Lepisosteus oculatus: one gene and its partners. The protein of the gene in region 1 interacts with the protein of each later gene in a pairwise test. Links are inferred from orthologs where the notes say so. Each region holds a gene or a part of one and is shown in the gene's direction. Other genes may lie near its edges.

What was found.
Region 2: the proteins of tle5 (region 1) and mlx interact in binary tests that used the Homo sapiens proteins (3 or more experiments, as listed by UniProt). The two-hybrid records come from large-scale screens. The link is inferred for Lepisosteus oculatus from reciprocal best matches to the Homo sapiens genes TLE5 and MLX.
Region 3: the proteins of tle5 (region 1) and cracr2aa interact in binary tests that used the Homo sapiens proteins (3 or more experiments, as listed by UniProt). The two-hybrid records come from large-scale screens. The link is inferred for Lepisosteus oculatus from reciprocal best matches to the Homo sapiens genes TLE5 and CRACR2A.
Region 4: the proteins of tle5 (region 1) and smarcb1b interact in binary tests that used the Homo sapiens proteins (3 or more experiments, as listed by UniProt). The link is inferred for Lepisosteus oculatus from reciprocal best matches to the Homo sapiens genes TLE5 and SMARCB1.

Annotation. Positions count from the first base shown.
Region 1 is NC_090724.1:9,409,107-9,416,211, reverse strand, and holds the start of tle5 (TLE family member 5), read left to right. Parts: upstream 1-4,058; 5' UTR 4,059-4,598; coding exon 4,599-4,625; intron 4,626-7,105. UniProt on the Homo sapiens protein: Transcriptional corepressor. Acts as a dominant repressor towards other family members. Inhibits NF-kappa-B-regulated gene expression. May be required for the initiation and maintenance of the differentiated state.
Region 2 is NC_090723.1:4,645,207-4,652,378, reverse strand, and holds the start of mlx (max-like protein X), read left to right. Parts: upstream 1-4,002; 5' UTR 4,003-4,052; coding exon 4,053-4,094; intron 4,095-6,296; coding exon 6,297-6,336; intron 6,337-7,064; coding exon 7,065-7,154; intron 7,155-7,172. UniProt on the Homo sapiens protein: Transcription regulator. Forms a sequence-specific DNA-binding protein complex with MAD1, MAD4, MNT, WBSCR14 and MLXIP which recognizes the core sequence 5'-CACGTG-3'. The TCFL4-MAD1, TCFL4-MAD4, TCFL4-WBSCR14 complexes are transcriptional repressors.
Region 3 is NC_090702.1:12,003,417-12,011,252, forward strand, and holds the start of cracr2aa (EF-hand calcium-binding domain-containing protein 4B), read left to right. Parts: upstream 1-4,711; 5' UTR 4,712-4,824; intron 4,825-5,166; exon of another isoform or gene 5,167-5,579; intron 5,580-7,836.
Region 4 is NC_090717.1:9,611,193-9,618,543, reverse strand, and holds the start of smarcb1b (SWI/SNF-related matrix-associated actin-dependent regulator of chromatin subfamily B member 1b), read left to right. Parts: upstream 1-4,181; 5' UTR 4,182-4,212; coding exon 4,213-4,296; intron 4,297-5,308; coding exon 5,309-5,420; intron 5,421-5,619; coding exon 5,620-5,749; intron 5,750-6,514; coding exon 6,515-6,652; intron 6,653-7,351.

The DNA of each region.
Region 1 (7,105 bases):
CCTCCTTTGACAACAGGGACAGAGAGATCGGTGTGATCATGGCCGTCTGAGGTGCATTGAGAAACTATGGGCTTTGAGAAATCTTAAATCTTCACAGCCCTAACATGTTCTCTGAAGCCGTCTCCTAGTCTCCTTCCTGTTTCCCCATCGTAGATAGCTGGGCATTTTCTGCAGGAGATACAGTAAATGAGGTTGCTGGAGGTACAGGATGTCGTCTGGGTGATCTGGAAGTGACCTGAGGGGCCCTGAATGAGCGTGTTGTTAGATATGTATTTGCAGGTGATGCAGCGAGCTCTGTTGCAGGGGAAGGTGCCTGGTGGGGATTGCCGAGTGCGAACGGGAGCTGTGAACAAGACGTTTACGTAGATTGGTTTGTCAGATGATTGGGCGGTTAGGGGTACCGATGGAGGGATCGCCCTGTAAAGTGGAGAAGTTGTTAATAATGGTTCTGGGGGTAGGAAGTGTGTGGTAGGGAAGCACCAAAGGAATGGGGTTGTGAGACGGGGAGTTCCTGATCGAGTTGATGATCCGAGGGCTGTTTTTGGCCCGGGTGAGAGCCCTGTCAATAACATGGGTGGGGTATCCTCTGTTGATGAAAAAAGAGACATTTTGAGTGCTTGGTTCTGGAAACCCATGTCGTCACTGCGGAGTCGATGTAGCCTGAGGAACTGTGAGAAAGGGTCTGGTGTGTTTTTGGTGTGAGTGGGGTGAAAAGAGCTGCACAGAAGATAGCTGTGTGAATCTGTGGGTTTGTAATAGACCGAGGTTGAGAGACGTGGACAGATACATTTATGTCTAGAAACTGAAGAGTGGTGGAAAATATGTTAACTGTATATCTGAGGGAAGGGTGAGAGTTGGTGAATTGATGCAGGAAGTGTTCTAGCTGGTCATTAGAGCAGATAGCAGCACCGACGCAGTCATCGATGTATCACTTGTAGAGGTCAGGGATGAAGCCAGTGTAGGAAGTGAGGAAGCGTTCTTCTACCCAGCCGACAAAAATATTGGCACTGCTGGGTCCCATCCTGGTGCCCATGGCAACTCCACTAACCTGCTGATAAAAAAAGGTTATAAAATGAGAAGGCATTGAGTGTGAGAACCAATTCCGCAAGACGCACTAGAGTGTGGGTGGGAGGGTCAAGCACTGTGTGTTTGTCTAGCTTGTGCTTGAGGGCTGTAAGACCGTCGTTGTGGGGAATGATGGTGGAGAGAGACGTGATATCCATGGGAAAAATGTAGCATTCTGGACCCTGAAATTGGAAATCATTGAAAAGTTGGAGGGCATGGTTCGTATCCCTGATATATGAGGGAAGCATTTCAACCAGAGGTCTCATAAGGCTGTCCCGGAAAGCAGAGCTGAGTGTGGTCGGACAATTGCACGCTGAGACAATGGGGTGTCCAGGGGTGTCGGGTTTTTAGATTTTGGGAAGGAGATAGAATTGGAATACTTGGGAATGTTCGACGATGAGACGGTTCGCTTCCTGGGGCAGCACCTGGTTGCTGAAAAGAAGAGCGACAGTGGATACCACTTCCTTCTGGTAGTCAGTGGTAGGGTCCTGTTGGAGAGGACGGTAGGCAGAAGTATCGGATAATTGTCTGGAGGCTTCCTTAATGTACAAGTCTTTTTGCCACACCACAACAGCTCCTCCTTTGTCTGCTGGTTTGATGACCATCTCATCCCTGGTGCGGAGAGATTGGAGTGCCTGAGTTTCTCCTTGGGTGAGGTTAGACCTGCGTTTCCTGGGTTTGGAAAGGGTCTTGGGAACTTGATTGTTGCATTGGTTAATAAAGTAATCAACTGGTGGAAACCGGCCGGAAGGGGGAGTCCAAGAGCTCCGTTTAGGATTTATATTGTTAATGGCATCAGTGAGGTGAGGAGGCGTTGTCAGCAAAATGAGCTTTGAGCCGAATCCTGCGGTGAAAACGGTTGAGGTCGACTTGGGTTTGCGGGATGTCCAGCTTCTTGGGTCTGGAACATAACAGGGCTCTGCTGAGAAGAGATCGCTCATCCTGTGAAAGAGAGAGGTCAGAGGGTATAGGAACCACAAGGTTAGGATTGGCTGAGGTGGTGAAAAGAGGATTGAGTGTGATTGAGTTTTTTACCCTTCTCTGAAGTGAGGAACTGGTGGAGTTGGGAGTTGAGGGATCTGATGAGGTTTGTTATGAAGAGAAGATGCTATGCAGCTGTGAGCCGTAAGAATGCCTTGGCTTCCTTGATGTTGTTGCCAGGAAGGGTCATCTGTTGTCTGAAGGAGAGGATGGTAGAAAGCATTAGTTTCCGCTAACACTGTTATAGAAGTCTCCGAGTATTACACAAGTCCAAAGAAAAAGTGTTAAATTTCAGGCGAAATCCTTTAGGAATGATATTATAACGACGACATCTGTAAAGGAATAGAAGGTGGTTAGAAAGCCTGGTCTTGGATCTTGGAACAGATCGCTGTGAAGAGGCGGAAAGCTGGTTTAGTGAGAGAGGGAGCAGGTAGCCCAGGGAGGAAGAGAAGGAACGACGAAGAGATCTAGAGAAAGATTTAGAGGAAGGCATAGTGGGTATAGTTATACAGTCCCACTCACAATATAGTACAATGGTACAGTCCTATACACAGTACAGTACAGTGATACAGTCCCACTCACACAGTGATACAGTCCTGCACACAGTACAGTATAGTTATATAAGTTCAGGTGGGTAGCTGCGTCAGCATGCGTAGGCTGCAAAGGAACAAGTAATAGGTTTATTCCATGCTGAAAAAAAGAAGAAAGAAAACACAACGTTTCAACTGTGGAGCCTTCTTCAGTATATAATCCTACTCACAGTACAGTGTGATACAGTCCTACACACAGTACAGTACAGTTATATAGTCCTACTCACACACTCCTACACACAGTACAGTGATACAGTCCTGCACACAGTAAAGTGATACAGCCCTACACAAAGTACAGTGATACAGTCCTGCACACAGTACAGTGATACAGCCCTACACAAAGTACAGTGATACAGTCCTGCACACAGTACAGTACAGTGATACAGTCCAACACACAGTACAGTACAGTGATACAGTCCTGTACACAATACAGTGGCCTTTCAGTTGACTCCACTCCATCCCTTGTACTGTTCAAACCGCAGCCAAAAGTTATTTCCCCATCAGCTGTGGCATCATACAGACAGCTCCTGATTAATTATTTGCAGTACAGATTATGTCTCATTAAATAGTTATGACTCTGGCCTTGTCTTATTAAAAATTCATTCGCAGAACCAGCAGGCAGTGCTCTGCTTTCAGCCGGGAGCGCTAGGTCCCGCTGGGTCCCGCAGGGCGGGCAGAGTGGACCTCTGAGACAGCACCACAGCTCTGGACTCGCTCGGACCGCTCCTTCTGATCGGCGCTTCCCTGTGCTGGGCCTGCGGGAAACATACTCCTCTTTCACAACTTCCTCTGAACCTACAGACGTCAGGGCACGAAACATCCCCATGCGAGACACAGAGTACTCGTCCACACACAGAGCTTCATCCAAACAGGTGAAGGTTCATTCTCTGCTGGAAGGTTAGAAAAAAGCAACACGACATTTGTTTCGGCACAACGCCTCGCTGTGTTTCCTTTCTTTTCTTTTCAGCAGGGAAAACACCTTCACCCTTTCCTCTGCGGCCGACGCTGCTCCCTACTCGAATTGATCTAGGTGAATCGTCTCGCTGGGATACCCACAGCCAGACGTCGTTTAAGCAGCCAGTGCACAGCGGAATCATCATGGCGGTCTAGGAGGGTTAAAAGACGGTTCCGGTCCTGAGGACTTAAAATCCCCCCGAGCAATTGAAAACGCGTGTAGTTCACAGTAACTAGACCCCCCGCACCCCTGGCCTGGACCCCACGGGTGTGCGGGGAGGAACAGAGCTCGCACCCGCGGGCCGGGAGGAGGGCGAGAGGGGGGACACATTAGACGGCAACACTTCCGCTAAGCGTTCGTGTTTTCACCCACCCGACAGCGCAGCCGGGGCCTGCCGAGCGCGCCCGAGCGCAGCGCCGCCCCAGTCCCGCGTCACGCGGGCCGCGCGGCTCGTGCGTGGTGTCAGAGCTCGAGCGCGGCGGCGACATGGTCGGTCAGCAGACACGGCACCCACACCGCGAGCGCAGCCCCACGCACACGACCCGCAGGGCGCTCTGAAAACACGTCCGCCCAGCTCATCCGCCCGCTGCCGAGCAGGCGCAGGACGGCGTGCGCCGGCAGACAGTAACGGCGAGGCAGGGAAGGGCTGCGGGGAGCAGCGTGATTGCGTTTCTGTCAGTCACGGGGAAGGGAGCCGCGCAGGAGCAGCGCTGCTTGTTCAAACTTTGGACCGTCTGGGAGGAGAACACGGTTCCGAGACTTTCTCTCTTAAAACAAAGGACAGAAACCCCAGCGCTCCGCAGTATGAGTGGGATACATTAGGGCCGGTTGGGAAGACGAACACAGGGCTGAGAAACAGGAGCGAGGCTCGTCTCCTGCGGTGACTGGCGTCGACGCGCCGCGAGCACCTCCGTCCCCGACACGGGGAGACAAAGGGAGCGATTCCAGGTCCCTCACCCCGGCTTTCGTCTTTGTTCGGCAGAAGGAATTAACAACAGGAAACTGACATGATGTTTCCACAATCCAGACACTCGGTGAGTCTCGGCGTCTTTATTCTCCTTCTCGATCCGCTCTCGCCGTGCCGTCGTGTTTAAAATCGCTGCGCGCGCGCGCGCGCGTCGAAGTGTGGGTGCGCGCGCTCGTGTGAGTGTGTGTTTTTCCTCCGGGCTCAGGGGGCACCCCGAGCGCGTGCACCCGCGCCCCCCCCCTCCGTTCCTCCGGCAGCAGCTGTTTACATTTCGGGGACCCGGCCGCCGGCGCCGCGCGGCTCCGCCGGGGTCCATTTTAAGACGCGCGGCGGGTCGCCCCTCCTGCCCCGGGGAGCGCGCGCCGTGCTGGGGGCAAACCTGGCGTTGCGTGAGCGCACGTCCGGGGGGCAGCGGCGGCGGCCCGGGGGCTACTACTGAAGCCGCGCCGCTGCCCCCCGGACAGCCGGCCGCCTTTCCGGCGAGATCCGCGCCTGAAGCGGCCCGAACGGAAACGACACGTTATTTCTGCAAAACTTCCACAAAATGGCCGTGTCCTCGCTCGCGCGCAGCGAGCTCGCCCGGGGACCCCGGCCGGGGATGGGGGTCCCTGCCGCCGCCGGCGGGCCGCTCGTCTGGGCGAGAGGCGAGGGAGTCACCCCCAGGGCCCGGGCGGGGGGTTTCCCCTGGACCCGGGGCCGGAGGAGGCGAGACGCGTTTCTCCCGCTGGTCGTCCGCGACAGTAACAGCTACCATCTTGAAGAGAGCAGGCGGACGATGAGGGACACACGCGTTTCACGATAACTTCATCAAACTGACGCTAAACTGAATATCGCCCCTCGAAAGTTGACCAAAATATGAAATTAAAATACTTAAGACAATGCCGTGTTGTAATTTATAGGGTATGTTCCTCAATTCCGCATTAACCGGTCCAGTTTAATACAGTTTATTTAAATTTAACCGGTTCCAATTGGCTTACATTTTAAACGTACTTCATTTTTACTGCAGCACCTTAAATGCTCATACGGCTGTTATTAATGAGATTTATACAGCCTTCCTCGGCTGTGATTAGGTGAGCTTGGAAAGAAACACGCACGCAGGCCACATTAATTCATGGCGTCTCAGCCTGATATTACATCATTTTAGATCGTGGTGCGTCTGGCCGTGGTTTTCGCTCTGGAGCTGCAGTCCGGGGGCTCAGAGCTGCTCAGATCTCCAGCTGGCGCTGAAAGACAGGTATAGAATGTAAATTAATTCTACTCGTTTTCTGAAGAAAGGATAGACCCGCAGAGTCCGGCCACAGATCAGCTCCAGAAGAAGGCGTCTTTGTCGCCTGGTTTGTGTTGATCATCTGGATCTCCGTCAGTTTTCGATTCATACGCTTGATTAATTAACAGGGGGTCCATGAGGGGCTGAGCAATGTGATGCCCCCCTCCCCCCGACAGGATCAGGAAAGCCCGGCGTTGTGTGTGGAGGTTCTGAAACTCCCGATGCGTGAGGTTCGGGAAGAGGGGGGTCCCAGTCGTCCTCCTCTCCAGGATGAAGAGGTTACCTGTGCACCTTGAATTGGAGCACCTGGGGAAAGCCCCTGCAGAGCTGGGCAGAACGTGCAAACTCCCCACAGAAAGGTGCCTGAGGTTGGAATGGAGCCTGGGACCCTGGTGCTGTGTCACTTGTGATTTCACCTGTGAGCGCCTGGAGTGTCACTACTGCTCCTCCTTGTCTTCACCCCCAGATCTCAACAACCCTCAACTAAGGTTGCTGCTGGAAGGGGTGTTAGTGGGACCGACAGGGGGCACTCACCCTGCGGTCCACGTGGTTTTAATGCTCCAGTATAGTGACGGGGGCACTGTACTGTAAACAGGCGCCGTCCTTCAGATGAGACGTAAAACCGAGGTCCTGACTCTCTGTGGTCATTAAAAATCCCAGGGCGTTTCTCGAAAAGAGTAGGGGTGTAACCCCGGTGTCCTGGCCAAATTTCCCATTGGCCCTTACCAATCATGGCCTCCTAATAATCCCCCTCTCTGAACTGGCTTCATCACTCTGCTCTCCTCCCCACTGAGAGGTGGTGTGTGGGGAGCGTTCTGGCGCACTGTGGCTGCCGTCGCATCATCCAGGTGGGGCTGCACACTGGTGGTGGTGGAGGGGATCCCCATTACCTGTAAAGCGCTTTGAGTGGAGTGTCCAGAAAAGCGCTATATAAGTGTAAGCAATAATTATAATTATTATTGTTATTAACTCGCCACAGTCAGTTACTGGTCCCGCTGGCCTCAAGGGGGGTACCAGCCCGGGGCCCAGTGCCCAGCGTGCTTTCTGCCCCTCAGGCTCCACACACCCTACAGTCCCTACAGCAGTGGCCCGAGGGGGACCCCGAAGACTCAGGACCCCAGCCTGAAACCTGGGCCGAAAGCTGGTCTGTGTCTGGCGTGGGGGCGCTGGTGTGGAGCTCATGTCCTCCTCCTGGGGAAAAGATCCGGCGCTGCTGAGGTGCTCAGAGGTCTCGGGATCGAGGAGCTCTAGGCGCCCCGGCCCACTGAGAGACGGGGAAG
Region 2 (7,172 bases), on another chromosome or scaffold:
TTACAGTACGGCCTTATGATATGATTAAAACAGACATGCTAGCAACTTAGAGAACAGAGATCCCCACTACATAGACTTACATCAAACCTTTATTATTTAATCATAGGAAACGAAGCACTGAAATCAGTTATCACTACTGCAATCAGTAATCAGCCAATAATGATGATCATAAACATTTAAATAGACAAAAACATGAATAATCATAATAATCCTATGATTTAACCATTATTGTTATACCTTGAGGTTTATGACAAAAAATGTGATACTTTATTCAGAAATACATGAAATACATTAATCCTAACATCATTCAAGAATCACCACTACCCATCACATCACTGAGCAAGACTTACAGAGCCTGTGGGAAAGCTGGCAAAGCTGGCTGGTATAAAAGACTCTGTTCATTTTTAGCACTAGCATAATTGGCAACAGGACACGGACTGTAATTCATCATGAAACAAATAAATGGACAAGTAAGCAAATTAAATGCAACACATTCCCAAGGTCTGTGTGTGTTGTGAAATATGACAGAAAACCAAAGCACTTTTGGCACTTGGACTTCAGCCTGCTTCTAGCTGATCTTATTTTTACAGACTCTTCCGAGCTGAATCCTGGTATTTCACACCTGGAAACCACTGGATGGTGACCCGGCAGTTACCAGAAGTTTATCTTGTAATCGCGATGATCGCAGATTTAGGAAACATTTCGTAGACCACAGCTGGCTGTCCTGCCTGCCCTCACACGAACCCTTCCAGATTAACCAGTTGGATTAATGCCCCATTTACTGCTGGTGACCATCGCTGTGCTCCAGCACTGATACCCCCTGAAGCTCTATTTATACCCGTGGTGCGGGGCACGAGCGTTACTGATCTGCCTGGGACGATACAGCGAGCCTCCCAGCTCTCACATGCTTCTGGGGGCTCAGATGACAGCAATCTATCCCGAGGCAAGGGTCCTGCCAGGGGAACTGCAGTCACGCCCGCGACACTCTCCTGTATAAAATAACTCTGGCACTCCGTGGTGAAGGCAGAGTGAGGTGCAGTAACAATAAATCATGCTAAAATGCCGTAAATTATAGAAATGTATTTTAAGGAATGTACATCTATGTCAGAGCAAAGAAAAGCCCCTGGTATAAGCATGTTAATAACATGGGAGATTGCAAAAACACTGTCCAGATGTTATCCGTGTTAACAGGGCATGCGTCATCATTATCCTCCTGTACCGAACATAACCTGTCATGGCCAGCAGAGTGGCTTGGTAGTTGATGTGACAGTAGATGTACATCTCCAGGGGTCGATTCTGACTTTATGCACCTGGCTGTGTGAAGTGTGCATGTTCTTCCTCATGCTCCCTTTTGAGTTTGCGATGAGTAATCCAGGTACTCCCAATAAAATCCGGGAACGGCCTTGATGTTGCCACTGTAAATTGGTGCTCGGTGCTGGGGAGGTCTCAGGACTGAAAGTGAGACTGTGACTAGTGATGTCTTCTCCCAGGTCTCCTGACACAGCTCTTTTGCGCAGTGGGCCTGGAGCACCCCTATGAGCTGTAGAGGGTGGGGACTCAGAGGTGAGACAGTAACAGCAGTAAGCAATTACTGCTTACACTGCAGCTAGCATTTCTCTTGGTCCACTATCTGTCACAGTGGTGCTTCTATTAACAGGAGGCCTGCTGTGATACCATAACATTGAAAGGGAGAAGCCACTGCTCTGAAAATCTCAGTTTTACAATTAGAAGAATGTGTCTATGATCTGGGTCTTCTGTGAAGACGATGAACATTGGACTTGAAAATATTGGTTTTTTTGTAGAGCGGGGGAGAGTTTGAGTGTCCTGGGAAAGGAAACGCTGACCGCTTCTCAAGAGAACATATCTCCCTCTCTTTTCTAAACACTGCAATCCAGATAGCCTTTGATATAATCCACACTCAATTTAAAATGGTAACAGGGCTGGGCTTTAACTTTGTAGTCCTTAAAGCCAAAAAGAGCATAAGTATAGCGTAGTATAGGGTAGTGATAAGTATAAGCTGTCTTTAAGCAGTGGGTGTCAGGTTTCAAAAGCAATGATGTGTTAAAACTGTTGAGTGGCGCAGGCAGTACAGGTGGTAGATTAGAGATCAGGGTGAATTATATTTAGCCTGACTTTGTGGGTATGAGCCTGTGTCTTGTCCCATGTGCCAACTGTGATGAAGATTCTCCCAGCACCGACGCAAGCTCAGGTGCTGCTGGGATAGTGTTGGCTTTACTCAGCCCAGGTTCTCTTGAGCTGTCTGACGCCGGGCCGACTGTCCAGTGATGAATAGCTGTATGTATGGACATGTTGGAGAAGCATGTCCAGATGTCTCGTTTTTTCCCAACCAGACGTCTTTAAGAACCAAGTCCCCAAAATAATTTTAGACTGGTAGGGAATGTCAGCAAAAATTATGTCTTATTCAATTTAATAATATTAAGCCTATCAACCCTTATCACTTCATAGAGAAAATGTATTTAAGAGGATGTTAGAACTGACTTTTGTTAGGTGGATCCTGAAATGTGATTTAATTGACCAAGAGTACATGAAATTCAGTGGTGCTCTTTTTCCTCTTTTATGCAAAAATATAATTTTAATTTTGTCCAAGCAGCATTTTGCCATTCCTGTTGGAAGTCTTCTTACAACATGTGTTATTCACTGTGTTTGAAGTATCGCCGTTAGAAAGTGTTCGTCTGTGCAGTTCTGTGCTACTTTATGAATTCCCTATATGGGCGACATGGAGAACGGAAATCATTTTCATGGAGTTTCTTATCTAAACTGGGAGCAGTCTGGAAAAATGTCTTATCTTACATCAACCCCTGCCTTCAGAAGCAGCTCTTTCAAGCAGCAGGTCTGGTCTGATTTCCGCTGGCTCCTGACCTCAGTGTATTCATCTTGATTAGTAGCTATTATCTCACACGGCACCAAGAAACATCCCTACCAACAGATACAGAGATGGAGAAGTGTGCTTGGAGTAGCCAGCACCCCAACATGTGCACATATTTCACGTGCCTGTCCTGAGGCACTGGGAGGAGGGAAAAAGCCAAGAAGATTGTTGTGAATTCCCTGAAGGCCAGACAAACTTGAGAGACTTTAACGAGCCTGGTTGGGAGACCCCCACTTTTTTGGTGGTTGGGTTGAACTTAATTTTCATAGCCTGTTGATAGCATCATTCATATTTAAAGGAGAAAGCATCAGTGTACTGTTGAGAAACATTGTGGTCTCCATTACCCAGAAAAGCTTACTGTCCACAGGTCTCAGCACAACATCTCCGATACAGGAATGTGGGAGGGGGGTGGGCGATCTATTATTATGAATTAATTATTAATGAATTATTATTACTTAAGAGTCAGTGTCTTATTGTTAGTCTTATTGGTTGGACTTTTACCATAGGAAAGTTCTGCTGCTCTCTTCTGGTGAAAGGTAGACACTGCAGAAACAAAACTCAAACCTCACTCACACAAGTAGACTTGAAAAATTAAAAACGCGCCTAATTGATTTTTCGTTGAGTTTTTTAATATATATAGGGTATTTTTCTTAAAAGTCCATTCCTAGGACAGAATATCCATTACTACACATGTAGTTCGTCACATGCGTTAGCACGCGTAGGCTGCAAAGGAAAAAGTAAAGGTTTATTCCCTGCGGAAAAGAGAAGTAAGGAAAAACAACGTTTCGGCTGCGGAGCCAATCTACTGTATGAACTGGCTTCATCACTCTATTCTCCTCCCCACTGAGAGCTGATGTGTGGGGAGTGTATTGGCGCACTATGGCTGCCGTCCCATCATCCAGGTGGGGCTGCACACTGGTGGTGGTGGAGGGGATCCCCATAACCTGTAAAGCGCTTTGAGTGGAGTGTCCAGAAAAGCGCTATATAAGTGTAAGCAATTATTATTAATTACTATAATTATTCTTCGGGTGTGGCCCCACAACCGAAACGTTGCGTTTCCCTCTCTTTCCAGCAGGGAATCAACCTTTACTTGTTCATTACTACACTCGCGCCCTAGAGGGCGACCTTGCTCTCCTTCCCGTGATGCTCCGGCGTGGTTTCCAAGATGACGGAGCCCAGTACTTCACCGGAGGACCCGTGGAGCAAAGTAAGCGAAACAGTTTATTCCTCAATACACGTGAAAGCAACACAAGAATATTTGGAAGATTTCCCCCCGCCACGTCTAGAAAGGCAGCGACAGCTAACGTAGCGCTGTCTGTAGCGTTCAGACACCGCACTGGCCGGGGAAAAAAATACGATCAAGGGTTTTTTTTTTCCTCCGTTACGCTACTTGTTATTGTCATGAAACATAACTTTCGTTTTTGAAGTCTTCTGGTTTCTTACGTATTCATCTTTAATGCATGCATGTTCTACTTGTATTAATTTTTCGGAGCACTTTCTAGAACCACTCAGTCCGCAGTCCTTATTCTAAACCTGTGCAGAAGTTACTTGGATCGATGCACTGTACGTTAAGGACTAGGGATCAATAATAATGATTTGCTAAGTAGACGTTGTTGTCCGGAGCAAATGGGACACAAACGGGAATTAAAAAAAATAGATGTTTTCTTTTTGTTTGCGACGCCGGAAGCTATAGGCTTTTGGAGAAGAAGCCAGCTGGTTTCCTTTAATGGGCGATCTTAAAAATGCACGCTTTTGAAACCAAAACGCGACTCGAATCTCTCTTAGGCAATGGCCGCATGTTAAGAAAAATACAGAAGGATTTTTCACCACTATGAAAAGCTACCTGTTATAATTGTCTTTTGCTGTTTCCCGTTTTAGGGGGTATAGTTCATAGTGTGTGACTTTGGGTCGAGTTGAGTTTATGTCCCGAATTTGGAATTGTAGTAGTGAGGTTGTTTACACGCACAATCTCCTGGTTCCAGTACGGCAGACGTGTTCAGTATCCGTGGGCACACACGGAGGTTAACATTTTGAAGGTACTCTGCTGCATTTCCCTATTTTTCACTTAATATAAATACTGGTTTGTCCGAACGACTACCCTTTGTCACTGGAAATTAAACATTCAGTTTCCGATCTATAAATAGAACAAGACCAGCCAGCAGTGGCTAAGTGATTATCAGTGGACATAAAGTGAATATAAAAAAAATAGGTTTGAATTGCGAGGTATGTATATAGCGCACAATTCAAGCTAATCCCTAAAGGTGTAATATGCTACGCGGGGATATCCCACACAAATATTGCATTGAAGTTTAATAGCATTGTAAAAGTTTAAAGAAAACATTGGTGGGAGTATACACGCCCCGCCCTTGGCTACTTCCTTGCGTTTCAATTGGCTGTTGGCATTCGCTCATTTGCATGGGGTCGTAGGATTCTGGGATATTGGGGTTGTGGCACAATTCCGCTTTCTGGTTTCGCCCTGGCGATTGATGGTGCCGGAAAATCCTTTTGTTTAAGAAAAATATTAACTATAAAGTAACAATATCTGGGATGCAAAATTAAATATTTTATTTTCTAGGTTTGCAAATCGGCCGCTGTCTTAAACGGCGTTTGTAAAGTTCACCCTTCATTTTTCCCGAAACCAGAAAAGAAGAATGAATTATTCTAGTCTTTTTTTATCATTACTTTGTGGTTTTACTGATTTTTCGACGTTGTAGTCATTTACTGGGTGCACAGCTCAGTATTTGGGAACTTATGCTTCATGAATAGTTTTGTGAAACAATATTTCTGTATGGTACCGTATATAATTTATATTAAAAACACAAGAAAATAACGAGAGAAGATATAATTGAGGTTTATTAGGTGTCTTCTAGCAAAATGAAATGAAAATTTTTTAAATTATTAAAAAGCATTCTGTTTCTGATTGTGAAACACCAAGCACAGCTGAACATATCACTCGTGGAGATGACAGAAGAGGTAGTGATTTTTTTCTCTCGGTGTGGATGAGATTAGAAACCAGTTTTTGCTTAACTCTCTTTATTTTTTCAGCAGTTTTGTAATCCTTACAGATACCTTCTATTTAAAAATTCAAAAAAGAAGTATGTATGAGGTATATACAAGGTAGAATGTTCCTTTCTACTTTGACGTAGATTAATATGTGTAGATCAGCCACCGAAAAATCCCATATAAATGTATAGTTGAGTTTGCAACATCAATTGTGAAAAGACCAAGGGGGGTGGATACTTTCTAAAGGAACTGCAGCATTATGTATCTAAAACTCCTGCTCTACATTTTCCTCTGCAGAGGCTGACACAGCATGTCAATGGAAAAGACAGCTGCTTGGTCAAATTGCCCCTCTCAAGCTGGTTATTAAAATCTCTCGTTTTGTTTCCTTTTCACTTTTTCTCTGCAGCAGCCGGATCCCACCTTCGCTGACAATGGACTCGACCCCTGTAAGTACTCTTGCTGCCTGTCATCTCGAGGTCGGTGGTGGTTGTGTTGTCAGGAGCCCTGCCGTCTCTGTGCCAGAGCAGAAACCTGCCTGCCCGCAGATCTCTCGGGAAGCCAGTGGAGACACGGGATCCGAGGAATGGGTAGGATGGTGGCAGAATCCGTAGGGAAGAGGGGGCAGGGTCTGACTGGGTCAGCTCTGTGAACTTTTCTGGAGGTCATTTGTATTTTTGAAGTTGGTCAGACAGTTAAAAAACTGGAACCGGTAAAGGTTTATCCCATGCTGAAAGGCAAAGAAGAGAGGTGGAGTTTTGGGTGTGCAGCCTTCCTCGGGTGTCCAGAAGGCATCCGAAGACACCTCCTGCCTTCTGACGTTCGAGTTCGAGTGGGTGGCTAGCCGCGCATGCTGATGTGGCTACCTACTTGAACAATTACAAAATTGTATGTTTTTTTTCTTTGGTCTCTTTCTCTGTTTGCCCAAACAACTGAAATCTATTTTAAAACGATCCATCTTGAGATGCATGACGTGTGACAGCTCTGCCTGAGCGTTGGACATTTTGAAAACACCCCTTATGCTTAGAAATATGCAGTGGAGTGTTGCTGTTTTCGTTGTGGAAGGTGTTTTTCGGGTGTGTCTTCAGTGAGTTTTAAGTTCCATCGCCCTTTAACTGGGCTACATGCTGCAGCTCAGTCGTGTGCACAAGGAAGTGACCTATTTTATTTTTTTCAGCTTTCTTTTCGGACAGTGCAAGGATTGGGAGTGTTGTTTCCAGAGCTAACAGCATTGGTTCCACAAGTGCCTCCTCTGTCCCAAACACAGGTAAACCTTAGAGAAAGC
Region 3 (7,836 bases), on another chromosome or scaffold:
AGCTGTAATCCTGTTGTTTAAAAACATTAATTTAGGAAACTGGCGACAAGCCTAAGTAAGCCCTACTTATGTTTTTTTTCTAAGGCTTTGACACACATATGATCTAAACTCCTGTTATATTCTTCGCCAAATGAGCTTTGTTTGTTTTGTATAGTTAAACATCTCTATATTTATCAAGTGGCCAAAGCCTTCTATGATCTAAAATGCAATAGTAGACATAATCTTGATACTGTATATCACTTTCTGTCTTGTGGTCAGACTTCCTGATAAAAACTCTATGTGAGTCAGCTGATCTTTGTTCAGAGTATGGTGATGGTAGGTTGTTTCCTGCTGAAAAGGTAAGGTCACAATAGAATTGCAGATACAGTATACGTGAGAATCATTGAGGGATATTCCTCCATTGCCTCCATACTCTTCATGGTTACACAACAGTAGATGCCACCTTCCATCCATCCTGGAATATCTTCTACTATCTCTGAATCATAGCAGTGGTGTGCTTCCATCTCCCTATTGGAGAACATGCAGTAACACACTTTCACACTCTTTTTACCCTCATTGTGCTCCCTGAATAGGTCATTTCAAGCACAGCAGTCAGAAGTCAGGTCTCATCTGCACTACTCACTCATTAAGGCCCGATTTATATTCTGCATTCTTCTCCCAACATGCCCTATTCTGATCTATTTATCTTCTAAATTGTAATAATGCATTTAAAATCTTCTTATTGTGGCCTATGTGTATCTCCTGTGCCTAAAATTTACACTGTAGGAACATTTTTAGTTATTTCACTACTCTGCTAGTTACTGTCACTTTTTCCAATTTAATTGACAAATTGTGCATGGTGGTGCAATGGTTTTTAGCATTGCTTTCTTGCAAACCTGGGGCCTTGGGTTTAATTCCTGGGGTGCTGTCTACTGTAAATGAAGCTTGTGTGTTCTCTCCATATTTGTGTGGGTTTCCTCTGGGTGGTCTGGCTCCCTTCCACAGTCCAAAGACATACTGGTAGGCTAACTACATTAGCTTCTGGGAACACTGGTCCTGGTGTGAGTGTGTGTGTTTGTGTCTGTGTGCCCTGTGATGGAGTGGTGTCCTGTCCACGGTGTATCCCCTCTTGTACTTGTGTTCACTGGGAAAGACTCCCAACCCCGCCATGACCCTGTTTTGGATGAAGTACAGGAGTTAGAAAATTGCTGGATGGACATTCTGCTTCCCTTTAAACCATTACCTCTTTTACAGCTGCGCTGATGTTTGTTCTGTAATATATTAACTTTTCTTGTGAATTTTTAAACTGTCCTTTGTTGTTTGTTATTTGTAGTGTAATTTTTGATAAATTCACAAAATACAGCACATGAACTTCAGATTTAAATTGGCTTGTATTCCCTATCCATCGTCTAACAGGTTAAAAAGCTGATGAACTTTTGTATTTTACCTGTATTTACTTTTGTACAGTACTGTATATACTGTCCTTTGAGTATGCCTTATTGTAATTTGGAAGATGGCTTTGGAAAGGTGGTTGCTTTATTAGAAGAAGCTCACTAAAATAAAAATGATTAGATACATTGGTTGTCTAAAGGAGATTTTTACTTATGGAGTAAACTTCAAAATCAGGTCAGAAGGAATCCTGGCAAAACGACATAATGTTGGCACATGTTTAGGTCCAAAATCCACCTCTGCCATGCAGTACTTATTTCCTTCTTCAAGCTTCCTTCCTGCAGTAAAGACAGAATTGTAGATTTAAATTTTGATTCATTTCAATAAATATGTCAGTATCTTTAATATCTTGGATAATGTACATTGTCTGAGAGAAAATATAAATATAATATACTGAAATTAAATATAAAATAATGAAAGAAAATGTATTCTATATAATGAGTTTCACAATGCTTATATTGTAGCCTACATAAATGTTCACAAAGGTTTTTCACGTGGGACCTGGGTTTCCTCCCACAGCCCAAAGACATAGTAGTACAAAAGGTAAATTGACTAAAATCCAGGATGTATCCTGCCTTGCACCTGTGGCTTGTCCGTATAGGCTCCGGCTCTCCTGCAACCCTGGATAAAGTGGTTAGAAAATGGTTAGATGGATGACCTTTCTTTTTTTTTCATTTTGGCCTTTCAACATGACCCATTGTGGATTGGCTACTTTTTTTATAGCACATTTCATATAGTATATTTTAAGAACATATTTGTCTCACTCTTCAAACTGGGTTATTTTTACATGCTCACAATGTGAATTTCTTTGTGAATCTAATGATTCTTTTTAGTGGTGCTCCAAAGTCTTGAGACTCCTGAATGATGTACCAGGACGACTTTTATGTTGATTTCAAATTATTTACTTTACATTGATTGACTGAGAGCTCTGGCATGAACTGTATATGAAAGTATTCGATGTAGTCTTTGTTGTAAAGCTAATGATGGTCTCTCTATGTTACCACAAAAACATTTCTTGTTTGCCTTTTGAAGTTTTCAAAATCTGTTGTAGACCTGTCAAAGTCAGTAACTTCGGCATGTAATCTTTAAATAGTGTGAATGAACCATACTGTAAAAGAAATGAATATGAAATGCATTCATTTATTGTAAAATTCATTATATATGGTTATAAACAGAAATTATGGATTTCTATATGGTTATATTGAAAATATACTGTACACAAATTATGGAAAAATGACTGAATCACAGATTAATTTATTACAGGAGATGTATTTTCCCAATAAACAGAAGCTGCTGTCATTCCTGTTAACTAACACTAAATTATTTTATTGGAACAGAACACTATTTAAATGAAAGCCCTTCTTTTTGTAATTACAGTTCCTGCAGAAACCCCAAAAGATGACTAACAGGATTTTCAATATCTGAATGGCAAATCATGAGAGAAAGGAAGCTTTACAGGATTCAACGGGACATAAGCATTTCAAAAGCAATGGTAAACAGAAGCAGCTTTGAAGTAGGTTGTTATTTTGTTTTTTATAGACTGCTATGAAATTCATCATCTGATATCACTACAGACATTATCAGTGAATAGGAGCCAGCTGCAAATATAATACAAAAAGATCAGAGGTCCATTCATTTTAATGAATTGTAATTAAAAAGACAAAACATATACCTAGGAGATCTGAAATACTTTAATATTTTATTAATTATATTGTGATTTGTTTCTGTTGAGAGTGGACTATACCACAACAATTGAGAGGGGTTTCTAAGTGCTGCAGCTTTTCTGTCTTGAATTTGATGAAAACGTGGGTTCAGATTTATCTAAGACATGCTCTAAAGAGAGGAATTGTTTCTCTGTAAAGTGATTTGTAAATACGGATCACAGGTAATTTTGGTGATATTTTGCAGTATGCTGGTTGTATTGTGTCTAAATCATGCTAGAAAGAGATTTCCATCTAACCTGAGCATATTTTAATTTCCTGATTTATTAAAATTACTTACCTGGCACTGGTTACAACAGCAGTATGTCAAAACTTCAACCTTAACATTTTTCCAACCTGAAATTCCAGAGTAGTACATGAGTGTCTGTTTGATTATTGATTTATTTGGCTGATGAAAATATCCAAAGAGATCTACTGTACACCTTTGTACCCATTTATATACTGTAGCTGATCATTTTACTGGAGCAGAGTGAAGTACCTTGCTCAAAGGCACAACCCCAGAGCCATAACCATTATAATCTATTTTTGAAGCTTTTTTATCTGGGTTTCTCAATCTTCACCGTGAAGTACATAAAAAGATTAAAATTACTGCTGCTCCTTAACTTAGGTTTCAAACAGATAGGAATAGGATTGGGAGGTCTTTTTAAAGGTTTTCCACTTACCACATATAATTTTGTGGTCTAATATGCTTAATTTACACATACTGTATCAGGCCTTGCATTCTAACAAAGTTAAAAACATGTACTTGTACTGTATACAGTATGATACTTGCAGGGCAGGACCTGTGTTTTTGAGGGTTTCCTGACGTACTGATACTGCTTTACAACTTTGCAACATGTTTGATATGTACTGTAGATATATGATACACGTACTGTATTATGAAATACTATGAATTCAGTATGTATATTTTGCCACAAGCAAACAGGAAATTGAACCATAATGGTCTTCAAATCTGACTCATTTCTGAAAGTTTGTTGTTTGAAACAAAGTTAACTCTGCCACACACATGTTCATCTAACACTAATCATCATATTATTGATGACTGGGGGTGATGGTAATTGCACATTCTGTTTCTCCCTAGTCCATCTTTCTAATATTATAATATGAATAATGTAACTTCCTTGAAAAATACAAGGAAAATAATTTTATCCTAAATAAAAGGTTTCCTACAAAATATACTGAAGCCTATGGTATTTCTCAATACAGTTGGGAAGAAAAATTAAGTTAACTGATAAAAGGCCTACAAGACAAACTGCTCATTGTGAGTTTGGTCAAGTTTTTAATTGAGAGAAAATGTTCTTTTAAAGGTTGCTAAACTTGTGACATGTACACTATACTGTAAAAAGGTACCGTCATTCAGATGAGACGTAAAACCAAGGTCATGACTCTCTGTGGTCATTAAAAATCCCAGGGCATTTCTCGAAAACAGTAGGGGTGTTGTCCTTGGTGTCCTGGCCAAATTTCCCCCTGACCTTTACCAATCATGGCCTTTAATCTATAAATTGGCTTCATTAGTCTGTTCTCCTCCCCACTAAATAGCTGATGTGTGGTGAGCATTCTGGCGCACTATGGCTGCTGTAGCATCATCTGGGTGGATAGTGCACATTGGTGGTGGTGGAGGGGACTCACCATTACCTGCAAAGTGCTTTGAGTGGAGTGTCCAGAAAAGTGCTGTGTAAGTGTAAGCAATTAATTTAAAAAAAATTCAAGAAGAATTAGTAGTTCCTATTTTCCTACTACAGGTAAGTGAACACATCTGCATATTTGTTGCATTAACTCTAATTACTGTATCTTTGACGTCTGGACTGTAGCGTTTAATTTGTATCATTCAGGAACATCTACTGAGAAATTTTTACTCAGACATCAGGCATTTGTTGAAACCGTGGTACAAGTATAGCCGGTAGCAGTTTCTGACTAGCTAGCTACCAAAACTCCAAGGGACGCCGCATAACTTTGCAAAGCATTCGTGTTCACTGTGCTACGTGGTTTCAGCCACAGCGTGCTGCTTTGTCATCTTACCCCTTGTGGTTTACCTCCTTTTGTTCACAGAGCAGAACCGTGGAGACTGAACACGTATCATTGATCACTGAACAGCGTACTCTTGGTACCCAGACCAGAACGATTACTTTGTTCAACTTAAGTACAGCGTCACTGTGGCAACACGGCACTCGCTGTACTGCTCTTAAGTCCCACCCTCGAGTCACCCAACCTGCACTTTTCTGAGGACTGGCTGGAGTTGTAGTGTTTGCTTTCCACCTGTTTACAGAGAGATACAGAATAAGTTTGAGAAAGCAATGACGGCGATTCGTAACAACCGACTTTCAAGACACCTGCAAGGTTAGGAGACTAAAATTGCGCATGCAAGACTGTAGAACGGTTTTATTTCGCTTGCTGAAAGAATGATTTTTATACCGCAAAATCGAAGTAAAGGTAAGAAATGTTTTCTCAATAACTTAAGTTTTTAACTTCTGCAGTATACATGAAAACGAATTTGTATTTGTCTGCGCATGTGCAATCTATTAGAGTACTACCAGCTGAGCACAAGTCCATTGAAATGTTTTAACAGGAAGTTTGTTAAAATTTAAAGTGTGTTGTTTGAAAGCTGAATTCCTCAATATAGTTTTAAAATTATTCTTTAACGCTGAACAATAATGACGTTTTTTAGTAAAATTTAAAGACTCGGCAGCAGTTCTGAAATAGAAAGCAGATGGTATATTGAAGGTACAAAAGTGTACTTCCTACTTTAAGTTTGGAATACGGTGGGAAAAGGTATTGCTTTTCATCTATTTAGAAATAGTCTATTTTCTAAAAATGAACATATTGAACACCACGTGGAGAGAATCTTGCCACTAGTCAAAAATATAAAAAAACACATTCAAATACTGATGTTAGTATAAATCTGCTTTTAATGTGGAAAATACACTGGACCTTTCAGGAAAGTAATATTTATCTGTGAGGATTGTATTTTTCCTAAGGATGTGTCTTCTGTTGCTTTTGGCATAAGTTATGTTCCATGATTTCAGTGAAACAAATGTTATGTCAGTCTTTTGTAGACTGCAAATTTCGCATCTGATTCTTGATGTTCTTAGACATGTACTGTATCACTATCTATAGAAAATTATAGTTTCCTTAATACAGTATATTCGGCCATACGTATTAGTGTGTAAACTGATGTCTACGCACAAAAAAAGAGGAGTTAGAGTAGTCTAATCAGTGTGTGAAAAATAATTTGATGTAAAAAGTTTCTGTGTATACCAGAATGCTGTCATCACACAGGACTGCTGTCAATTACTAAAATGTATAGAGTGACTTTATAATTACAAGTGGGTTTTCGAACCAATAGCCTGTGTTGTTTCAGTGCTTCTTTGTATACTGTATATTTGTTAAAAATCATGGGTGAGTCCTCTTCACGTGGACATATTCAGGTGTAAAAAAAAAAAACATAGATCTTCCTCTTCAGGTGTCTAAAAACAGATTATTGGTTTTAAAAGACATGAAGTAACTTACAGTTCAATTTTTGTTTTAGAAAATAACAGTCCACTTGATTTAATGACTACCAGTAGTTATGTGGATGATGGCAGACGCAGAGATTCAGTCTTCAGCTACAATACGACAGGTGTGCTGAAATAGAACAATTTTCCCATTATCAGACTGTTTTCCTATCTTGCATGTTTGAGATTAAATGTACTGTAAAGGACCTGCTTCATTTTTTCCAGGTCACTATAATATGATCGGACAAGTGTACCTTACCACCACTACCACTTCCTCTGTGAGCTTTTTGTTGAATGCAGATTCTGTGGTAATATTCTATTCAGTTAGCTTGGACTGATAAGGCTGCATGTGAAAGAATCGAATGAACATTGTTTCATTTGCTGTATGTGCGGATGTAAAAACTGTCGATACTCTTAAAATAACCTTCAGTTATAAAAATGCATGATGGTGAATCTGCTTAATTGGATATTTCAGTATATTCAGCAAAAATATTTTGCTTGTTTTTTTTTCTTCTATATGGGTAAATAATTTGTTAAATCAAGAAAAGACGCCTAAAGTGAGATTTAGGTAGGGTTTATATTTTCCTGTCTCTAATATAAGGTTTTAACACTTAAATGAACAAGGCTACAAACAAGAGCCAGTCATTCAACCTTTCTTATGTTCTTATTAGGCTTAATCCATAACAAATCAGGACATGGTTTTATTTGATCCATTTAGCAGACACTTTTATACAAAGTGCCTCATTATAAAATAATCCTAACTTATGCAGTAAAATAATTTCTTGATCAAATATAAATGTTACACTGTGCAACAAGAAAAAAAAAAGTAGTGACTTAGATTCTTAACTGTGGCTTAAGAATTCATGGGAGAAAGTTGTACTGTAGGTATCAATATACTGTAGACAAAATATGAGAATCGCAGGTATAGACGGAGGAGATGAGTTCTACTGTATTTTGGTGCTGAAAGGTCATCAGGGGTGGTTTAGTCCTGATGTCTGTGGATAACTCGTTTGTTAAGTTAATAGAGAGTGGGAATGAGATAAGACTGCAAAGATAAGGTAGGACTAGGTGTGTAGGAGTGGAAGGAATATAGGGAGGAAGAAGGAATATAGGGAAAGGAAATAGATTGGCGGGGTACAAATTAATGGAGAGAGAATTGTTCATAAGAATCTTGAAACGATGCATGCAGATATTGG
Region 4 (7,351 bases), on another chromosome or scaffold:
AACTGGCTTCTGGGAAAATTGGCCCTGGTGTGAGTGTGAGTGTGTCTGTTTGTGTCTGTGTGTGGCCCTGCGATGGACTGGTGTCTTGTCCAGTGTATACCCTGCCTTGCGCGCCCTGTTTGTCGAACTAGGCTCCAGCTTTCCCGCTCAACCGTGAACTGGATAGAAAATGGCGAGATGGTTCAGAATATAAATGCCTGGAAAAAAATAGGGATTGTTGGAAAACTGTTCAATCGGTTTATGACAATATTTCAGCAGTTACTCTCCACTGCCCTCTGGCATTTGAGATAACAGCTACATTGATGTACCTAAGGTTCATAAACACAGAAGGCACAATCTTGTAGAAACATTCCAAAGAGTCTTTGTACTCTGTGGAATCCTTCTGTGATATAATTACAGAAATAGAGACCTTTCCTCTGGAGTAATTAAAGTTTTGGTTACTGAGAAAAGTGCATGGAACATCTTTAATTGTACTTTAATGTATACAAAGTTGAAAGCCAGCTTTAGAAAATGCTTTCTGTCTGCACTTAAAAAGACAGTACTTTATCATGAGCTAAACAGTTTCTTTATTCTCTGCCATTTCCTTCCAAACAAATCTGCACTTGTTAAAAACATAATTGACTACATTATATGTTATAAAATGTAAATATGAAAAAACATATTTCGAAGTAGGACTAGTTTACTGTAAGATCAAGCATTTGTTGATGTCCCCCACCATAAAAATCAAACAACAACAAACATGTTACATTTCCAGCCCCATTTTGAGACTATAGTAAAACACAGTCTTACAAAATGTAGAGAGACTGTTAATAAAAGCCAGAATGAGGGTTGCATCTTTTAATGAGACTCCTGCTGGAAAGAATTTACCAGCAAAGAGATTTAAAGTCAAAGATATTATTGTCTAGTCATCAGGCTCCCTGAGAAATGCTATCTCTCCCTTTTTGAGCAAACAAGGTTTATATCATAAACATGACAGTGTATGCTCTCTTGTAATTTGCGTAGGCCTTTTTGAACCTATTTTTGTCTGAAACGGTCAGGGCCCAGAGCTTTAGGCCTTCCTTGTTTCTAATCAGTTCCAGTACTTTGAAAGTTCTGCCGTCTATTTTGTTCCCTTTATATGTGTTTTGCAAGCAGTTCATTTTTCATTTCCAAATTTCCATCAAATGGGAGATTGTATCAGCATTTGTCTGGAATCAGATTGTATGCGTTTGAACACCCGTGCTCTGAAATGTATGAGTGTAATTAACTTCTGAAAGCAATTATTTCATTTTTGCTAATATTGAATGCTCTGGACATAACAGGAAGAATGCAAGCAACCTACTCCTTGTCTGTTTGTTCTGTTGTCTATATCAAGGTCAATTTCAAATTATGGACAGAATCCCTTTCTTCTTTCCACAGTTTTGTACTATTATCGTTGACCTCCAGCAGCATCACTACCTTCTGAACCACAAACAACTAGGAGACCTAGTTTATTTTTAAAACGATTGACTTTGGCCCAAAGCCACAGTTCTTAGTCTTAAAGCGATTTTAAACAAAGCAAAACAGAAGCATAAAAAACTCAGATAAAATAAGCATTTCCAGATGCTCCCTCATTAATCCTGGGGATAAGTGACATAAACCATGTCTTTAATCTTTCATATATCCGTTGTGGTGTGGCTCTTTTTTATATATTAGGTATACAATAATTGTAAACTCTTATTGGTTAAGCCATTTCATCTAAAGCCATTCATACCTGAAGGTTCAGTTAAAAAGAACACTATAAAATGTAAATTTACACCAGCTGGCAGTTATTACTGCTCTATTGTAGCTATTTCTGAGTTAGTCATTAACAGAAATCCTTTGATTATTGATTAATCTTTTGCAGTATCTGTAATTACATATATTGAGGATATCCCTTTTGCAAGCCAGCACAACACTTTTTCCACCTAAGGGTACTGTAAATTGTGTCACATCCTATAAACGAATATCTTTACTTACATCTAGATGTGTCTTTCTGTCTAAGTGGATACCTCTACACCCTTACTGCTAGAGTCAACAAAATAATTTACAGAGTAATGGAAATATGGCTAAAATCTATTTTCTCAGTCAAAGAACTGCAGAGTTTATATAAAAATAGCAAAGTATCCAAAATAACTGACCCCATTACTCATGAGTCTCTGAGAACCAGAACTATAAGCATAGCATATGAGCAACAATATAAGAAGGTTCATTTCCCTCTTTCCAGACACTCATGTTGCAGAGGTCCAAGGCTACCTATATATTATTCTCCAAGCATACAAAACATGAATGCACAGTAATGGAGATCAAAGATCTTTTCGTAGCTTAAAACAGCCGTATAGATGCTGTTTCATTTTGTACTGACTCTGGTTGAGATAATTAATGTGTCTGCCCCCAGACTGTTCCTTATCTTGTTTCCTCTGTGAAAATGTAAGACAAGGCTCACAGCAAGCAGAAGGGACAGAGTTCCTCTGCAGGACGATGTTATGCTCCGTCAGAAATGGAATTGATGGTTCCACGGTTTCGAGAAACTGTGAGACAAGTCCTGCCAAGAGTGAAGACCAAGTTGACACTGAGCAAAAAAAGTGTCTTTGGACACAGCAGTTCTTTATTTTTCTTTCATACGAAATTCCTGTTTTTGTTGGCCTGCCAATATCCTCACTTTTCCAAAGAAATTATTTATATCCAAATCCTATATTAATTTTGTGCTTCCCCTGACAAAAAGTGGATTGCTAACATTAATTAAGGAGTCTGTTCACTGCAGCTGTAAGACATGGGGCATAACTTACACTGGCCTGTGCTTTTGGAGCCTTGTCTCATTTTCCAGTTCACGCAGTGCAGAAAAATTACAGAATGATGAAAGAAACCTGGAGTGCTCCAAAGTACAAGACAAGTGCTCTGATGTATCATTTCTGATCTCAGAGGAAAGCAAATACCTGTGGAAAACTAAAGGAAATGAAAGTCGCTAAATTGTCAAGATTTACTGATCACTTGCTGAATTGAAAGGAAATATAGCTCATACTGTACCTTTTTCATGAGCTTCATCACCATTTTTCTTCTTTATTCTCCCCAAAATAGCAGGGGTATGACTGAATGAGGACGCTGGTGTATCAGTTTTATAAGGGAAACTACAAATTTCATTTTAATACCCATAAATGTGAAAATGTCCTACTGAACATTTGTAAGACTACAAAACTATATTCTGTATTAAAAGTGCTATCTTTGGTGTCTTATGCTTTATGTATGTAGCTTTAGACATTTGACATTGTTAGTAAAAAAAAACCCTCTTTTAATTTCAATCCCTCGTGTTCTCAACTGTCTATAAAAAAGTATAATTACACAAATTACTGCGGAGCATTACAATAAAATTGAAATTGAACTCAATAATCCAAATTATTGTCATCCTTTCAGTCTAAACTGCTTTTAATGCTCAAAACCGCAGCTATCCTTAGAGCAAAAAGAGCCAGGAACTCTGTGCCTTTAACAAATCTACATTTAGCTCATTTAAGGAATTAACAGATGTTGGCTTGTACAACTGGGGCAATGGAAGTTTTCTTAGTTTGACTAGGATACAAGGTGGTGGTTTTCAATGGTTTATCAGGGTCGGAGAGGTAAAAAGGACCGAGTTTCCCATTGCAGTTTCCTGCCACAGTCCAATAACATACTAGTAGGTTAATTGGTTTCTAGGAAAACTGCCCCTAGTGTGTCTAATGCTGTCTGGTTCTGCCCAGGACTGGTGTCCTGTCCAGGGTGTATCCTGTCTTGCGCCTATTGCTTGCTGGGACAGGTTCCGGCTCTCCTGTTACCTTGAATTCAATGAAGTTGTTAGAAAATGTATTAGTATTAGCAAGTAGGGCAGTGGGAAATGCAGGATGTACTTGCACCCAAATTATAAAGCTGTTGCCCACATCACAAGCTGTTTTACTATGCATTGTTTCCAGACGCATGGAGTGTTTGAATACAAAGCAAACAGTTTGTGTTTGGCATGAACATTGTTTTCATTAAGAAGAAATTTTCAGAAAGCCCACGGTATTTAGATGTCAGAGGTCTACGCGAGGCTGAGCCTTCAATGCACTGCGCTAACGATTCGCTCCTGTTGGTGGCGCTACAGCAAGAACAGGAGACACCCGTTTCCACTGACTTTTTAACAACGCATGCGCGGATCGCTTGCTGTAATAGTCGCATGCGCATTGTGGTGCTTTTGTTACAGCCAAGATGGCGTTAAGTAAAACGTTTGGGCAGAAGCCGGTGAAATTTCAACTTGAAGAAGATGGGGAATTTTACATGATTGGTTCAGAGGTATGTATTTTATTAACGGGGTGTTCTTGAATCGGGTTCTGTAATCCTTTTGCTTCTAGCGTTTTTTAGAGCTGTGATATTAGTGTTTAAAGTCAACCTGGGGTACGGTTTCATTGTGTTTTGCTGTCTGGGCTTACTGAATGAACTGGCTTAGTTGGGTAAGCGCTATTTCTATTTCTCTTCAATTCAGAAAATTGAACTAAAACGATCTTGTTTTTAAAATAACTCACACTATTATGGTAGCATTTGATTAGTGTTGTGAGCAAATGTTCCTAAATTAATTAGAAAGGGCGTATTGGTTCTCGTAAAGTCAACAAGAAACACCATACGGTCACCTAGATGCTGAAGATAATGATAGAATCCACTTTATCTGGCAATGTCTTCGTAAACATTTTTCTCCAGCACGTTTTTCATTACCAGTATCTCGGATGTCACATATGTCAAACTGACAAATGCAGATTTACACGAATTTGAATGTCTTATTAATATAGTCATTTATTGGAAATGGGTTTTCTTGTTTGAGTAGAATTTACAAAGATTATAAACTAGATGAGGTCATTCGGTTAACCTGGCGTTTTCGAATGGTAATCGATCCGCGATGATCATTTTTTCAGTTTTAAATGCCTGGGTAACCATATAGTTTCTGCTTAAATTGTTTGGGCTGATTTTGTCAAAGTACAGTTACTTAGATACTTAAAGTAATCTTTTCTGTTAAAGACAAAATAGTGAAGTTCTTGAACTTGTCAGTGTAAGACATTCCTTAATTCTGAAAATATAGTATGTGGTTGTATGACATGTTATTGGTTGGCTTATATATTTAATTGGCAACGAAATAGAGGTGTTAGTAACTAGAGGTGTTTGTAAGTATTTATTCATAATTTCCAGTTAATCATAGAAAGTCATGTTCAATGTTAACATCTAACCCGCTGAGAAAAAATCAAATTATTGTATTTCCTCAGGTTCATCTACTTTAAGGGACACTGCTATTTGACTCTTTGGTTTCGTTTCCTAGGTAGGAAACTACTTGCGGATGTTCAGAGGCTCACTGTACAAGAGGTACCCTTCACTGTGGCGGAGGCTGGCTTCTGTTGAGGAGAGGAAGAAAATTGTAGCATCATCACACGGTGAGTGTCAAGTCTTTATCACTTTCAAGTACTCCTGTTGCCCAATAGCAGCATTATTATCAGCGATGATAATTTACCAATAAGTTCAAGAAGTGTGAGTCGCAATCACTTTAATGATCAGAAACATTCTCCCCAGAGCTAGTAAATCCGAAAGTTCTACTTTTGGACAGCAGTATCTTCAGTGTTTTCTTTGTGTTAGATCACGGTTACACAACTTTAGCCACCAGTGTGACTCTGCTGAAAGCATCTGAAGTTGAGGAGATCTTGGAAGGAAACGATGAGAAGTACAAGGCAGTCTCCATCAGCACTGAGCCACCTGCCTACCTCAGGTAATGTTACAAAGCACAACTTGGTAATTACTGCGATTCAGTGGTGAATCCAAAAATGTCATGCAGGTTTATGAATTAGATCAACAGAAAATCAGTCTGGAGCATCCATACCAGTGCAGCACAAATCATTTCAAATTAAGCATGTCCCATCTTGTATCATTTATCATCTTGCGATTCCATGAAGAATGCATGAAACCTCCTTAGTCTGGATCAATTAAAGTGTGCAGTGCTAAATGAGATTTCATATATATGCAAATGATGTAATGTTTTGGAATTTTTAACATCATGTTGTTATTTAATGTTATTTTTTATTACCAGAACTTGAGTTGCTTAACCAGTAAAAGTGCTTTCTTGGAGCGCAGGTTAAGCAGCGGTTACTAAGATTTCATAGGTGGCAGAGCTGCCGTGCTGCCAGGGGCCTTTCGATGCAGCGGTGACGTCTGTGATTTGTTTTTGCGGTGACATTGGTGAGAACGGCGCCACTCATCGGTGCAGTGCTAGATCTCACCAGGCACTGGGCACTTGAACGTGTTGGGAGGGTCATATCCGTCACGAGCTCCTGAGCCGGAGCAGGAACCATTGTCAGAGAATCAAGCCTTAAAACTAATGGGGGGGTTACAGATTCAGCGGGTGCACAATAAAAAAGGGCAATTGCCCTTTTCATAATGACCAAATGACACTCAGTATGTCCAGGTAAAATATATTTTATATCGTTGTAATCCTCCGCGAAAGCTCTAGGTTCTTTTTCTCACATGTTCTGCCCAGGGAGCAGAAGGCGAAGCGGAACAGCCAGTGGGTGCCCACGCTCCCCAACAGCTCCCACCACCTGGACGCTGTGCCCTGCTCCACCACCATCAACCGCAATCGCATGGGCCGGGACAAGAAGAGGACCTTCCCGCTTTGGTGAGTCCGGAGAATCGGCTGGAGCTCGGCGGCTTTAAGACCACTGCGTGCAACAGCCACCCAACTCCCTACCCCGACCCCCCGCCTTCATCATGATAGATCGCCACCCTTCATAGTTCATACTGTATTATCTCAGTCCCAAGCCTCTCCATTTCATAAGACTGAATCACCATCCCTTACCAGTTCACACTGTACCTGTTATCAGAGGACGTTAACACTCATGTTCACCACAGAGTCCTGGCATATGATTCATTCATTTTACACCCATTACAGGTTCATTATTTCAACCCATAATGCCTTAAATACAATAACAAATAAATCAGTTCTCAGTTTCCTGCATGTTCTATGACTCAGTGTTTTAAAATAGTAGTACTATTATTACTAGTATTACTATTAGTAATAAAGAATAACAAACCTAAATCATTTTGCTGGAATTTCAGTGCTTATTTACAGTCCCGTTTAACAGGAGAGGAGATATTTCTTCAGGTTGTGCTTGAACACATGCTTTTTACAAAAAAAATTTCACTAAAGATGTACTGGAACTCTGATGTATGGCAATGTAAGTGTAGTAACTGAACAAATCAAATGTCACAAAAAACATAACATAATATTAGTATAAAAATAAAACAATTCCGGGTTGAAATTGGTTTTTTGTTAGTATCTCCTCTTTGAAACTTCTAATGTTGAATTGAGCTGTGG